2 linked regions of the Elephas maximus indicus genome follow. The protein of the gene in region 1 interacts with the protein of each later gene in a pairwise test. Links are inferred from orthologs where the notes say so. Each region holds a gene or a part of one and is shown on either strand. Other genes may lie near its edges.

The links. The genes of interacting proteins can lie anywhere in the genome.
Region 2: the proteins of GCC1 (region 1) and ZNF276 interact in binary tests that used the Homo sapiens proteins (3 or more experiments, as listed by UniProt). The two-hybrid records come from large-scale screens. The link is inferred for Elephas maximus indicus from reciprocal best matches to the Homo sapiens genes GCC1 and ZNF276.

The regions. Positions count from the first base shown.
Region 1 is NC_064826.1:22,309,506-22,317,319, reverse strand, and holds the start of GCC1 (GRIP and coiled-coil domain-containing protein 1), read right to left. Parts: upstream 3,004-7,814; 5' UTR 2,624-3,003; coding exon 1,592-2,623; intron 774-1,591; coding exon 1-773. UniProt on the Homo sapiens protein: Probably involved in maintaining Golgi structure.
Region 2 is NC_064839.1:54,863,780-54,871,353, reverse strand, and holds the start of ZNF276 (zinc finger protein 276), read right to left. Parts: upstream 3,002-7,574; 5' UTR 2,788-3,001; coding exon 2,613-2,787; intron 2,010-2,612; coding exon of another isoform or gene 1,916-2,009; coding exon 1,612-1,915; intron 1,307-1,611; coding exon 1,260-1,306; intron 1,188-1,259; coding exon 741-1,187; intron 1-740. Other genes in the region: VPS9D1 (VPS9 domain-containing protein 1), read left to right, coding at 3,966-4,064, 5,479-5,554, 6,410-6,502, 6,606-6,768. UniProt on the Homo sapiens protein: May be involved in transcriptional regulation.

The sequences.
Region 1 (7,814 bases):
TCCAGGTCTTTCTCAGCCAGCACGGCCAGGGCCCGGTCACGCTGCTTGTGCAGCTCCTCCTCCAGCTTCAGCGTGCGGTCCCTGAAGTCCAGCTGACTGCGCTCCAGCTCCTGCCGGTGCAGCTGCTGCAGCCGGGTCAGCTCCTGCTTCCAGTCCTCAGCCTCCTGCTGGTGCTGGCGCTCGAGCTCCTCGCAGGACAGCCGCAGGGAGATGTACTTCTCCTTCAGCTCTGCCAGCTGCTCCTGGGCTTCCTCCAGCTCCTTTGACACATTGCTGTCTTTGGTGCTCTTGCTCTTGAGGACAACCTGGGCCCTCATCTTGTACCTCTCAAACTCCTCCTTCAGCTGTTTCAGCTCCTGTTGGTAGTACAGCGCAGTGGCTTTCTCCCCATCAGTAGCCTCCGAGGTGGGCATTATCTCTGGGTCGCAGAGCTTCTCCACATCCAGGGCCACCTGGCTTTTTCTGGCTGCAACCTGCAACAGTCTCTTCAGCTTCTCCATCTTGTCCTTCAGGACATTAACATCCAGACTGGACTCCTCACCATGGCTGTCCAGAGGGGACCGGCTGGAGGCTGCGAGAGCCAGTGTCTTATTCTCCAGGTCCAGCTGCAGAATACGCTCCTTCAGCTTCTGGATAGCCAGCTGGTCCTTCTGCTTGGCCTTCTCGTAGATGCCCAGCAGTTCAGACACCTCGGATATCTGGTTCTCTAGGGCTGCCACCCTCTGCTCTTCCACCTGAGATTGCTGTCGGAGTTGTTCCTCAGCAAGGGCTGTCTGGAAAACAAGGCAACAGACAGAAATGCAGCCAGGAAAGCCACACAATGCCCTAGGGCAAATTTTGAGAAAGCGAGAGGGTGAGCAAAAGTGTCACATGACTAGGATGGCCTGGGAAGAATGGGAACTGGGGGTTTTTGTGTGGATTTAGGTGCTAACAACAGTTCCTGTAACCTGCTTGGGTTCTGCTCCCAGAAACATATTACACCAGACCTTAGTGTATTTTCTTACTGTTCTGCTTTAGTGCTTCTGCTTTCTCATACCATACACCTAGCTCACATATAAAGCTTTACTCTTGTTTATTACATGCCTCCCCAAATCCTATTAAGAAATCATACGGTTTTTTTTTTTCTTCTGATATTCCTCGAAATTCAAAACGGAGTTAGATTTCTCTCCACACTGAAAGGATACAAATTCTGACTGAAAGCAACTACAAGAGATTGTTTCTTCTGAGAAAATCCCCATCGCCCCCTTCATCTCCCTACAAACACAGCCCCACACATCACCCTTCCTTGTGCAGCTGGGACTACACCGCTTCGTAGAGCCCGGCTGGGAAGATGTCAATGCCCAGAACTCGGAGCTGTCTGGCTCCTACCCAGCCTACACGCAGAAACTCCACTTCCTGTTGGGCACACACTCTGTGGAGACTGTCAACACCGTGTAGAGCAGGAATTCCCAGGACTCACTAGTGGGACTTTTCCAGTAGCATCAGAAATGCCAGTGCGACCACTTAGTGCTAACTCCCAAAGGAGGAAAAGCCTTCATGTTTCCCACTTCAGATTAAAGGACTAATGCTTGAAGGAAATGAGAATAATTACCTTCCTTATTTCCTGTTGCAACTGAGCCTGGAAATGACTCTTGAGGCCAGCGGCCTCTTCCTGAAGGTCCTGCAGCCGGGGGTCAGGCCGATTCTTCTCATTTCGAAGAGCCTGCAGCTCACCCTTCAGCTCCTCTACCTCCCTGGTTAGCTGCTTGGTCTGCAGTTCAAACCCTTCCATCTGACCAATGGCATATGCCCGCCCTGCCAGGGCTTCTCGGGTCTCCTCCAGACGGAGCTCCAGGTCCTGGCGCTGGGTCCTCTCCTCCTGCAGCAGCTTCTGGAGCTCACGCAGCATCAAGGCATGGTCACTCTGCTCTTGGGCCCGATCGTGCTGCTGCGTGATAAGTCGAGCTTTGGTTTCCGCTATTTGCTCCTGCAGCCCCTTCAATTCCCCCTCCAGACGGCCCCTCTCCTCCTCTGCCTTCTTACTGGCATCCTCTAAGTCCTGTTTCATCTTCTTCTTGTCAGCCAGGTAAGAAGCCTCCATACGGGACTTCTCCTGGGTGACTGTAGCCAAAGAGCTGGTCAAAGTGGCCAACTGAGTCTTCATTTGGTGCAGTCGTTTGTCTGCCTCCACGCCCCCCGACGGACCGTCCCCACTACTGCTGCTAATGCCACTCTCCGAACCGCTGGCTTCTTCGGACTTCAGAGGTAGTGGGCCACGGGCCGGTCTCTCATCTTCTACCCCAAACTCACCCTTGGTGCTGGTGAGACTGGCTGCAGTATCCAAGCTGGTGGCGGTCCCCGTGCTATCCCCGCTGTGAGTGGAGCACCGGTCATCAATGGAGTCAGGAAAAGTGAGACCTGAGGGCTGGACACCTGCGAGGCCCACATCCGCCTCGTGGGACACCGACAGTACCTTGATGCTGGCCTCCAGCGCCTCTTTCTCCTTCAGTAGGCTTTTATAGGCGCGGACCACATCCTTGAGCCGTGCCTGGTACTGCAGGAGCTGCTTCTTCTGTGTGTCTATGGTCTCCAGCAGGTCCTTCTTGCTCGGGCCGCCCCCGAAATTCATCCCAAACTTCTCCATAGGGGTGCGGGACTGGCAGCTCCACGTCAGCGTTCCGGCAGCCCGCGAAGACGTGGCACGGACTGCAAGCGTCGGGGAGAGAGTTGTCGGGCCGCACACCTGCTGCTCCCGGCAGTCCCGGACCGGATGAGGCGCGGCGGGACACCCTGGCAGGAGGTCCCGCCTGGTCCCGGGCCCAGAGGGCGGGCCGGGTCCTGTCCCGGAGGCGGAGCGACGCCGGCACGAGAGGAGCGCACCGCCGGGGCTCGCCCGCCCAGGCCCACAAAGCCGCGCCGCGCGCCCCGCTCGCCCGGATCCCTGCAGCCCCGGCCAGCCCCCGCGGTCCCGGTCGGCCAAGGTTTACACCAAACGCGGCTCCATCAGGACTTCCTAACTACCGCGGCCGGCCCAAACGTCACTGCCGGGTCCTCAGGAAGTGACGACAGCACCCCGCCGCAGGCTCCGCCCCCAGCATGTGCGAGGTGGGCGTGGCCACTCCAGGCGGTGGGTGGGAGCCGCCTGTGGAAAACCTAGGGGCTGTATGACCTGAGGACATGGCTTGGGAAGAATGGAGGAAGCAGAGAAGAGGACTCAGGCGTGATGTTGATTTGTTTGGTGAGGTCGGGGTGCTTGAGTTTGTCCTTGGGCTTCGATCAGCAAGCGACTGGGGGCAGCATTGCGCAGCGTTCTTACGAAGCACAAAGATGGGCGACACCCCCACTCTTTGGGGGACCAGCACCTATGTCTCTAAAATGCAACCGTTAGACTCCCTTTTAGACCATGATAACTGCAACCCTGTCTAACACAGTGCTTGGCACCTAGTAGGCATAAGAAAACCAAAAAAACAAACCCATTGCAGTGGAGTCAATTCCAACTCATAGCGACCCTATAGAACAGAGTAAGACTGCCCCATAGAGTTTTCAAGGAGCGTCTGGTGGATTCGAACTGCTGACCTTTTGGTTACCAGCGGTAGCACTTAACCACTACATATAGCGTAATAATTGCTAGCACTTTTCATAAGTTTTGAGTTAATTCAACTATGCTTATAGAGGGCACTCTATAGCCATGATTTCTATCCTGAGTGCCAGCTATACACCAGGAGCCTCACAAAAGTTTTGTTATTTAGTCTGTACAGTAATTCAGCTTAGGGGGTATTATTAGCATTATTTTACAGATAATGGGAGCACGGAGCACAGAGAGGTTAAGTAACGCGCCTGTATTAGTTATCCATGGCTGCAATAACAGAAATACCACAAGTAGATGGCTTTAACAAACAGAGGTTTATTTTTTCACAGTCTAGTAGTCCAAATTCGGGGTGTAAGCTCCAGGGGAAGGCTTTAGCTCTCTGTCTGCTCTGGAGGAAGGTCACTGTCATCAATCTTCCCTGGTCTAGGATTTTCTCAGCCCATGAGCCCCATTTCCAAAGGACATGCTGTGCTCCCAGTGCTGCTTTCTTGGTGGTATGAGGTCCCTATGTCTCTCTGCTTGCTTCTCTCTTTTGTATCCCAAAAGAGGTTGGCTTAAGACAGAATCTAGTCTTGCAGATTGAGTCCTGCCTCAGTAACGTAACTGCCACTAATCCCATCTCATTAATATCATAGAGATAGGTTTACAATGCATAGGAAAATCATAACAGATGACAAAATGGTGAACAATCACACAATACTGAGACTCATGGCCTAGCCAAGTTGGTACACATATTTTTGGGGGACACAATTCAATCCATGACGTTCCACCCTTTGGCCCCCCAAAATTCATGTCCTTGCCATGTGTAAAACGTATTCACCCCATCATATCAGCAAAAGCCTTAAATCAATTCCAAGTCCAAAATCCAAAGAATTCCTCTTCATCTGTGAAATCTAGAAAACAGGTTATCTGCTTCCAAAGTACAATGGTAGAACAGGCCCAAGCTAGATATTTCCATTACAAATGGGAGAATCGGAGGGAAAGAAGGCATAACAGACACCACTTTGTCTAGCGAAAGTAGGACCAACTAACCAGCTTCCTTACTAGGTCCAATCAGCATAATGTCACTGATGTAATGGACCAATGTGGTATCTTGTGGAAGGAAAAGGTGATCAAAGTCCCTGTGGACTAAATTATGACATAGGGCTGGAGAGTTGATATACCTCTGAAGTAGACAGTGAAGGTGTATTGCTGGCCTTGCCACCTGAAGGCAAACTGCTTCTGGCCTTCCTTCAAAACCAGAATCAAGAAAAAGGCATACCCCAGACCCAGTGCCGTCAAGTTGATTCCAACTCGTAGTGACCCTATAGGACAGAGTAGAACTGCCCCATACAGTTTCCAAGGGAAAAGGCATAGGCCAGATCAGTAGCTGCAAACCAGGTACCAGGAGATGTATTAATGTGCCCAAGCAATGAAACCACATCTGGAACAGCAGCTGCAGTTGGAGTCACCACCTGGTTAAGTTTATGATAATCCACTGTCATTCTCCAAGATCCACCTGTTTTTTGCACAGGCCAAATAGGTAAGCTGAATGGGGATGCGGTGGGATCCTATAGGGCAGAGTGGAACTGCCCCATAGGATTTCCAAGGCTATAAATCTTTACAGAAGCAGACTGCCACATCTTTCTCCCATGGAGTAGTTGGTGGGTTCAAACCACCAACCTTTGGGTTAGCAGCTGAGTGCTTTAACCCTTCATTTGAATCTTGGCACAGAAGCTGTCCGCTAACATTTTTGGGCTCTCAGGTTTCTTGGGAGACTACTTTTCCCACTAAAAGTATTTGCTGCCCTCCAGTGGGGGGCTTGTGTAATGGTGAAACATGAAAAAATGTTCTTTGGGAAAAATTCACTAAGGTAAAGAGGCTTATGTATGAGGCAGTGCTTCCAGGAAGTGCGATTGGATCAAACTTATGTCTCTTCTGGCTTTTGTACAGCTAAGTAAGCCTTGTAAGTATATTTATGGTTTCCTGTGTCGGAACCCTGGTGGGTTGGCTTTTCTTTTTTTGGTCATTTTTGGAAAACCAGAGATGCCCAATGTAGCCAAACGGAAGGCATCACCCAAAATCCTGCCTCCAGAGATCCTTGGGACAGACAGAGCTCAGTAAACAGGCACCAGACTATCGCCAGCATTTTGTGGGAAAATGCATTCCCATATGATATTTCTCCAAATGATAAATCTCAAAATTTCATAACAAAAATTCAGAAAAAAAAATTTTTTTTGAACGACTCCTTAATTCAGCATGCCTTCTATTATTGAAAGCACATAGTATCAAAAAAATTTTTTAAGGAAAAAAATTTTCTAAAGAAAAAAATTTTGAAAGGGTTTAACCACTATGCCATCAAGGCACCTTCTAATGTTTACGTAAGCAGATCACCAGGTCTTTCTCCCTTGAAGCAGCTGGGTGGGTTCAAACCACCAACCTTTCAGTTAGCAGTCAAGTGCTTAACTGTTGTGCCACCAGGGCTCCTTGGCATAACAGGTGGGTACCCAAATTAAGGCATTTATATTTTACCTTGGGTAGTAGGGAAGACACTAGAGGGTTTTAATCTCAAGAGTAACATCATGAAGACTTGCATAACAGGGTGGAAATAGTAAGGCATAGAAGATCTGTAAGGAGGCTTTTTCAGTTATGGGAAAGAGATCATAGTGAAACCAGGCAGTGGCAACATGAAGAGAAAGAAGCTGATAAAAGAGCTAAAGATGTAGAATTGACCTGACTTGGTGTCATGGATTGAATTGTGTCCCCCCAAAATATCTATCAGCTTGGCTAGGTCATGATTCCCAGTATTGTATGATTGTTTACTGTTTTGTCATCTGATGTGATTTCCCTATGTGTTGTGAATCCTATCACTATGATGTTAATGAGATGGATTAGCAGCAGTTACATTGATGAGATCTACAAGATTAGATAATGTCCTAAGTCAATCTCTTTTGAGATATAAAAGAGAGAAGCCAGCAGAGAGTGGGGGATCTCATACCACCAAGAAAGCAGTGCCAGGATCAGAGTACGTCCTTTGGACCTGGAGTTCCTGCACAGAGATGCTCTTAGTCCAGGGGAAGAGTGACGACAAGGACCTTCCTCCAGAACTGAGAGAGTAAGCCTTCCCCTGGAGATGACTTGTGGCCTACTAGACTGTGAGAGAATAAATTTCTCTTTGTTGAAGCCTCTACTTGTGGTATTTGTTATAGCAGCACTAGAAGACTAAGATACTCCATTACCACTAGTTGTGTTATTATATTGGGACTCTTCTAAATGTACTTTTTGACCTTTGGATCCTTCTTGGGAATGGAAGCCTATGACTGAAGAGCAAAAGAATGCCATGCACTCACTCACACCTGGTTCCCAAAGTCTGTCCTCATTCCAGACTTTGTAGGTCAAGATGGGGCATGCCCATGCCCTAGATGTCTGTTCAGACCCAGTTTGTTAGTGGCCCAGATAACATCCAGCTGCATAACACAAAACATTCAGATACATTATCTCATCACTTTAATCTATAGCCCCTTGAGATAGGTAAGGCAGATATTAATGTCGTGGTTGGAGGTTGAACCCTGTAAAAATGATGATGTGGGGGCAGCATCTGACCTCCTCATGCAACTTTACAAGGGGGAAGGAGAATCAAGATCGACAAAGCCCAAGGCTGATTGCTGTGAGATAGAGGTCAGACGTACCTCCTCTTTCCACCATCTTTACCAGTTCCAACACTATCCATCCCTCCCACGGCACTCTCTCCTTCTCTGCTGGGTTCAACTTGTTGCAGTGGCTACACAGAACTCATAGACCATACTTGAGTTATGGGGTTTATTAGGGAAGTAACAGGTTTCAATTCAGGTTCAGGAAAGCTCAGGATACAGTTCTTCAACCAGGACAGCCTCTTCTCAGCCTTGCTTGCAGGGAGGCCTCTCTTTGGCCCTCAGCCCCTCGGCCTGGCCTCTACCCTGCTCAGGCAAGTGTTACAAAGCTCTTTTAGCTCTGCCAGTAAGTGTCTGGAGGCACCCTCCTCCATCAGCAAGCCTCAGCCCAAAGATGCTCAGTTCTACCTTTGTGGGTCAGGAAACTTAGCTCCACCAAGTGCCCAGAGGCACCCTACACCACCAGCAAGCCTCCTGCCCGAAGGTGCTCAGCTTTCTCACTTCATGGGCCAGAAGGCCTACCACACCATCTCCTGCTGGTCTCCTGCCTCTGCTGCCACCATTTCTCTGCCACAGCTTCTCTTCGTCTTTGGTGTTACATCTCTCTCGCTTTCTCT
Region 2 (7,574 bases), on another chromosome or scaffold:
AGTTAGCTATATGCTGTGGGTGTTCTCAAGTAGTTAAAGAACCATTTTTATCAAAGTATTACGTGCACATAGTTTAAAAATTCAAGTGGTACTAAGATGCTCATGAAGCAACAGTGACCCCCTGGCCAACCCTGTCCCAAGGCCCTTCGACCCATGCCAAGCTGCACTTTTTTAAAGTGCCACCTATGAGGATCGAGAGCAGCAGGCTCGAAGACTGACCCCTAGCCTCCTAACACCAGTGTCCCCAGGCAGCCATCATGGGATCTGGGCCCCAAATAAGGGGCCTGTGTTCTCCCTTGTCCACACTGGTCCCACTGGAGTGTCCTCAGAACGGCTGGCTGAGGTCCAGGGAGTGACCTGCAGCTGGCCCAAAACATCAGCCTCAGCAGCAGCAGCCCACCCTTCCCCCGAACCCCATGGACAAGGGCTCCATTATTCTCTTCCCTCAGGCCTCTCAGCCCACGGGAACAGCCAGTACCCTCTGCCCAGGGTGTGAGGCTAGAGAAAGACTGGAGATCTGAGACACGTGTCTTTACAGAAACTGCTCAGACAGGCTTCCCATGAAGGGCCCACAGCCCTAACCAGCTGGCAGCCCTGACTTCCTCAGTCTAGTATGCAGCTGAAAGCTCCTCCAAGGGGCTGAGCCAACTCCCCCACCATCTCCGCTTATCTCCTCTGCAGCGACCCAGAACCCCCCCCCGCTAAGGACGAGGGAACCTGGATCTAGCACAGGCTCTTACCTGGAACCCCACTGGGGGGTGAACTTGGCTGGGGCGGGGGGCTCTGCCCAGACCCCACAGGACTGCCATCCAAGGGAGGCTGAGCCGCATCCATGCTGGGCAGTGCCTCTGTCTCGGCCTCAGTTATGGTCCCTCTGCCCTGGGAGTGCTGGGGGCCAGCCCCAGCAGGGTTGGGCCCCTGACTGGGGGTGAGGTGCGGGGCTGTCTCCTTGTCCCACTCCCACTTGACCGCCAGCGTGCTGTCCAGCACAAGGGCCCCACAGCCGGAGTCTGTGTCCATGACGTAGTCGTGGCCCTGGCCGCAGCCCCACACAGCTTGGATGACGCCGCAGTACTCAGAAGAAAGCATCCTTTGCAGGCTGGGCAGGGCCCCGCAGCCAGCTGCGTGCCCGTGCACCCACCCAACCAGGGCCTGCAGGCACCGGGGGCTCCATGTGACCAGGTCCGCTGAAGAGAGTCGACAGAGTCAGCCCTGGCCAGCACCTGCCACCCCGGCTGCCCGTGTACCCGGACACTCACCCGGACACGTGCCCTCCTCTGCAGCAGTCTGGGACTGAGTCCCGGCCCTGCAAAGGATTGTGTGGCCATGAGCAGGAGGAGCACACCTAGCAGCTCAAAGCTCTGTCCTACTTTCATGGCTGTCCCCAAGGTCTTGAATGTCCTGCTGTCCTTCAGATACTATCCACTCTCCCTGAACCACCCTGCCCTCCCCGTCTCATAGCCCTGCTTGAACCTCACTCCCCACGCTTGTATAGTGGTGCTCACACCATATGCCCTCCGCAGAGGTTCCCAGCCAGGCCTGCTCCCACACCTGCCCCCAGAACAGCACCTGAGGTGCCTGGAGGACACTGCCTGGCCAGTGAGTGCCTACTTTGGACAAGGCTTCCGGCGGCCAGTTGGGGAGACGTTGACCCTCTGCAGGAAGGAACCGAGGAGGCTGTGGCACTGGTAGAACTGGGCATGGCAGTTCTTGCAGACGAAGGATGACAGGGCTGGATCCTGGAGAACGGGCACCCCCAGAAGGCGCTGGAAATCCCTGATGAAAATGCGCTCCCCAGGGGGCGTTCTCCCCACACTTTCCCCAGACCCCCTGCTGGAGATGCTGCGGAGACTCCTTGAGGAGAACTTCCCGTGGCAAAGGCGGCAGTGCCCCATGGCGAGCGCCCGGCCTGGTCCTGGGCAAAGCAGCGGGGGACATGAATGGTCAGCGGGAGGCCAGCTCCTGAACTCAGCTGCTCTGCTCAGCTTGGGCATCTGGGAAAAAGCGCCCTAAGCCAAAGACCACTAACCTAAGCGGAGGAAAGTGCTGGGCTCCCAGCTCAACATTTAGGCCGAGACAAAGCTTTTTAGAGGAACTTCCAGTCCAAAAAAAAACTTTCAAAATATCCTAAATATCTCCACAGCTCCGACTACGGCCCGTCTCGCCTAGGCCCCCCTCACACAAGCGCCCCTCAACCCGGCCCCCCAGCCCCGTCGACCTTCACCCCGTCGCCTCGCACACCATGCCCCCTCACCCTGGCCCACTTCCCCCGCCCGGGGAACTCGAAGTGATAGTGCTGGCACCTGGGCTCCCCTTCCGCCCAGAAGGGTGACGCAGAGCCCACCCGGCCCACCGAGCAGTAACTCCCTGGTCCTCGCGACCCCTCGGTCGGCTTGAGGAGAAGGGCTGAGGCTCAGAGAGGGTGAGTGGCCACCTCAAGGTCACAGCGCGGCGAGCCCGGCGTCCCCCGGCCAGTCCACCCCGCCCCGAGCGCTGGTCCTGACGTGCCGGGCCGCCCCCCCATCCCGGACCGCTCGGCCGCCTCTTCGCCCCTCCTCCAGGAGAGACCCGGCCCGCGCCCCCGGCCCCCGGCCCAAGTCAGGCCCACATACCTGCCTCCTCAGCGCCGTCCTCCGGCGCCGCCGCCGCCGTCCCATCCGGGCTCAGCCCACAGCTGCGGGCGGGGCGGCCCCGAGCCCGGCCGCCTCCACAGGCGCCACCGCCCGGGCCCCCGCGCTGTCGGGCCGCCCCGGACGACAGGAAGCGACCGAGCCGGTCCCGCTTCATGGCGGCGACCCCACCTAGACCCGGCCCGGCCCGCTGCGCGCACCGCGCACGGCGCGCGGCCTCGCCTCGGCCCGCTCGCTCAGTACCCCTCGGCTCCGCTCGGCCCCGCTCGGCCCGCCAGCACAGTCAGACTCGCCTCCGCTCGAGCCCGCTCGGCTCTGCTCGGCCCCACTCGGCTAAGTTCGGCTCAGCTTGGCTCCACTCGGCCCAGCTCGGCCTCACTCGGCTTGATGGCAGGGGGCGGGGACGTGGTGGGGCGGGATGGAGGGCGGGGCGTGGCGGGGGCAGGGCTAAAGGCAGGGGGCAGGGGGCGGCGGGGGCGGGGCCCGTGCGGGCCGCGGTCCAAATCTCTGAGGCTGTACCGCCCTGAAAGCGTCCCGGTGACGTCCACAGGCTCGCTTCCCGCTCCATCCGCGAGAGGAATAGTGCCCAGCGCTGACGCCTAGAGAGCGCCGGCCTCGGGCTAGGCAGTGGGCTGAGCCCTTGACGTACGGCGACTCATTTAAACCTCGTGGCAGGCCCGTGAGGGACAGCAGACCCGCTATACCTCTTTGTGGAAGGGAAACGAGGCGCTGACGGGCAGACGCTGGGCCCCAAGAGTTACGCACGGAGGTGGTAGGCCCTGCTCGGTCCGCCAGCACGGTGCCTTTCGGCATTGGAGGGCTTTTCAGAATACTTAGCCATGTTGCTTGAAGTTTCCTTTGATTTTTTCTTCTTTTTTGCAATTTTTTATTTAAGTACATACACATACAGAAAAGTACCAAAATCATAAAGCGCAACTAGCGGGACTGTTCGGAGTTAGAGGGGTCCTGGACGTGGAGCGAGGGCTCGGCGCTCAGGGCAGCTACGTGAAGACGTTGTCATCGCTAATCCGCTTTCCCAGATGGGGAGACCCGGCCTGCAAGCCGAGGCCCGTGGTCCAGAGTCCGCTCCTGGACCCTAGCAGGGCCTGGCCTCGGATTACCAGGCCATGGTTCCGCCACTCTCGCCTTGGCTCATTCTGCCGCGGGAGTCTTGCTCCTGCGGCGGAGCAGGACGACGGAAGTGCTTCCAGCAGGGACCGCCCCGTCCGGCGGTCCGTCGCTCCGGCGTTCCACTGCCCGCGCAGGCAGAGTTCCGGGCTCCCGACCGCCCGCCCCGCCCCTTGACCGCCACCACTGCCTCCCCCGCCCCGCACCATGGCCGCTGCGGCCGGGGATGGCGCGGTGAAGCCGCTGCAGAGCGCTATGAAGCTGGCTAACGGGGCCATCGAGCTGGACACTGGCAACCGACCCCGGGTGAGACAAGGGGAGGCGGGGTCCGGCGGAGGTTAGCCCCCCGGGCGGGGGCGGGAGGCGGTCGCGGCGACGGCCGGGAGGGACCCCAACCTGCTGCAAGCCGGGTGGGCGAGGGCAGAGCCGGCCAGGCGGCGAGGTTGCTCTCGGCCCTGCCCGAGCTTCGGCACTTGGGGGCGCCCACGCCCACCTTGGGGTAAGAAGGCTGGACCCGGCGGTGCTGAGGTCTTGCCCTGCTCTGCGACCTTGGACAGCTCACTGCCCTCTCCGGGCCTCAGTGTTCTCGCCTGTTCAATGAGTCGGGGAATCAGAGCTGAGATGATATTGTAGAGGGGATTCAGAAATGTCTGTGAACTAACCCCCAGAGTTTTTTGTGTGTGCATCCTTTCTTCCTTTTTTGTAGATTTAATCAGATTCCCAAAGGGGACCGAATCCAGAAAATATTAACTGTCAGCCCAATAGTGCTGCTTTGGCTGTTCAGGGCCTGTCTGGAAGGAAATGCAGGGGGTGGAAAGGGTGGCTTGTTCCTGAGATTGGGAGCTGACTCTCAAGGTGGGGACCAGGTAGAAAAACCGCCTGGGCCACACCAGACTGCCCAGGGTAGGGAAGAGGCTGTGCGTGCCTAAGAAAAACATCCTAGTTTCTGAATCTGCTGCTTCTCCCACATTTTTTCTGGGACACCAGGTGCCCCCACAAGTCAAAAACCCTGTCCACAATCTGCCCTGGTCTTACCTCTGAGTAGACTTAAGACGGGTGGCTTGATAACTGGGATGCCAAAAAAAGGACAAAAAACCATCATGCCATGGTTCTTAATGTCCTGAGCAGCAGAGAGTGTTCAGCACTAGTCCTCTGACTGCTGTGTGCTGAGGGGTACTCACCCTGAGGATCAGGAGAGGGATTTTCCAAAACCTAAGGCAGGAAGTAATTCTAAGATTTGCAATATCATACCTCTTTAACATCACAGGAAATACTTATTTAAAGCCACTGAATGAATGGCTCCTGAGTCATGACACAGGAAGAAAAATTATAGAGCGTAAAAAGTGAGAGCAACTGCTGAGGCTGCTCCCAGCCCTACTCTGCCAGAAAGAAGCGCAGTGAAAGGAGGACTGGTGTCCAGCTGGTCTCGGCACCCAGTGCCTACTGCAGATCTTGTAGGAAGATGTGCTTTGGCGTTGTTTGCAGGTGCTGACATCTTTTCCTTCAAGTCTTAGAGAGCCAGGATACTATCATTAGACTACTGCACAATTACCAGCCAACTACAGCAGACTAGATGTCTCTGGTGTATCTCATGATAAGCAGGCACTGCTGTTTCTGTGGGTCCAGGCACTGCATTTTCCTGGAGGGGCACCAGGCAAGTGCGATGGACTCATTCACCTCCGTAGCCCTGATCCCTGCCATTTCTTTTCCCTGGGCACAGGAGGCATATACAGAATATCTGAGGAGCATTCACTACATCTCCCAGGTTCTGTTGGAAGAAGCAGAAATGACCAAAGGTATGGCTCTGAACGTCGCAGGTCCTCCCCATGCTGGGCTAATCATGGGAACATAGCCCTCAGAGAGTCTCAGGCCTGGACATCTCCTGCCAGCATGATCATTAGCAGAAAGTGGACCAATAGCACTCAGCAAGCACCAGCTGCAATAGCATGATGCAGGGGCCAGAACGGACAGGTGCTGCAGGCAAGAGGATGGAGAGCTGGGGTGGGGTGTGATGGGAAAGGCCACAGAAGCACTCCTGAGGAGATGACATTGAACCCACTGATGGATGGAGTGACCCATGCCAGGGTCTGGAGAAGGCATTCCCAGCAGAGGGATGTGCAAAGACCCTGAGGTAGGAGTGGGTGGTGTGTTTGTGGAAGGCCAGTGGAGAGGGAGAAGGTGAAGTTAGGGTTGGGCAGGTTGTGCAGAGCTCTGGGTACCTTGGGTTGGCATTGGAGTCATTCTGATGTGAGGAAAAGACCATGAAACACTTTGAGCAGCAGGCAGGAAGCCAGATCTGTGTACAAACACAGGCGAGTGATAGGGTGCCGAGAAATGAGGTTTTTCTCTCAGCACGTCCTTATTTGTGAAATGACATAGCAGCTGCATGGCCTATCTCACACAGAGGGGTAGAGTACAGGAAAAGCCCTCAGTGAGGAATAAAGAAAGGCCTTGTTTAGGTAGAGAACTCCAAAGGTCCCCTTTCCAGTGAGGGAAAGAAAGTTAATCAGATGCTGGGCTGGCCAAGCCTGGAATCTGCCTCAAAATCAAGAGGTAAACCCAGCTTTCCCATACCTTGTTTTCACTTCAGCAAGAATCTGATTAGCAGTCCAGCTGAAGGTAACTGGCCTTTTTTTCTCCTGTTCCCCCAGAAGCCGGGGAAACAGTGCCCCTAGACACCTCGAAGATGCTGAAGTTGGCTGAACAGTGTTTGGAGAGGGCCCAATCAACTGCTGCCAAGCTGGGTGGGTCTCCAACAGAGGGAGGTTTCCTGAGTACACCCAAGTCTGTGTCTTTTTATGGAATGTGGGGCCATCCTACTGACCCGTGGCCATGTATGGCTTACAGGGAAACCATGCCTGAAGCCAGCCAAGCCTATGACTGCTGCAGTACCCTCACCAACCAGTCGACACCGCCGGGTGTACTCAGATGAAGGGGGCAAGCTCTCTCCTTTTCTACCTCCTGAAATCTTCCAGAAGCTTCAGATGGTGGAGTCACAAAACTCTAAAAAGTAAGATGGGCAAAATGGGGTGTGAGTTGAGCCTGGGGATTGGGATTAGAGGCTGGGCAATATGAGTTGGCCACGGAAATTTAGTCAAAATAGGTCCCAGAATGGGAATTCCCTTGTACCTGAGAGAAGCAAAGGCAAAACCTACTTGGAGGAAAGCATTTTGCTTTTTCATAAAGTTGAATAACACACTGTCAAAAATAACCAAACACATGAGGAAACAAGAAACTATTAGGGAATGACAGCAGAAACAGACCTGCAAAGTCTCCAAATATTGGCGTCATCAGACACAGATTATAAAACAGTTATGTTCTTTATATCTAGAGAAACCAAGAAATTATAAAATCTTGAGCAAGAAAACATAAAATCTGACTGAGGAAATAAAGAATTAAGTAGGACTTCTAGAAATGAAAAATGCAACTGAAGTTACTATTTAAAACTAACTAATATATATATATATATATATGTTTTCTAGTAGAAATAAGCCAAAAAAACAAAAAATGGAGTGGACAAGTTTATAACAGGAGAGTAGACATAGCTGAAGAGAGAATTAGTGGATTGGAAGAAAAGTCAAAGACACCCAGAATGCTTCATAAAAAAAAAATAAAAGAGCGATGGAAGGTCTAACATAAGTTTACTGACATTCTAGAAGGTGGAGAGAAAGAAAATGGCAGAGGGTCATTATGTTGAAGACAATGGTGGACAATTTTCTAGAATTGATGAAAGACATCAAGACACAGATGCAAGAAGCCCAGTGAATCCCAAGTAGGACAAACAAGGAGGACCTGCTCCTCTTGGCCCTGCTCTGG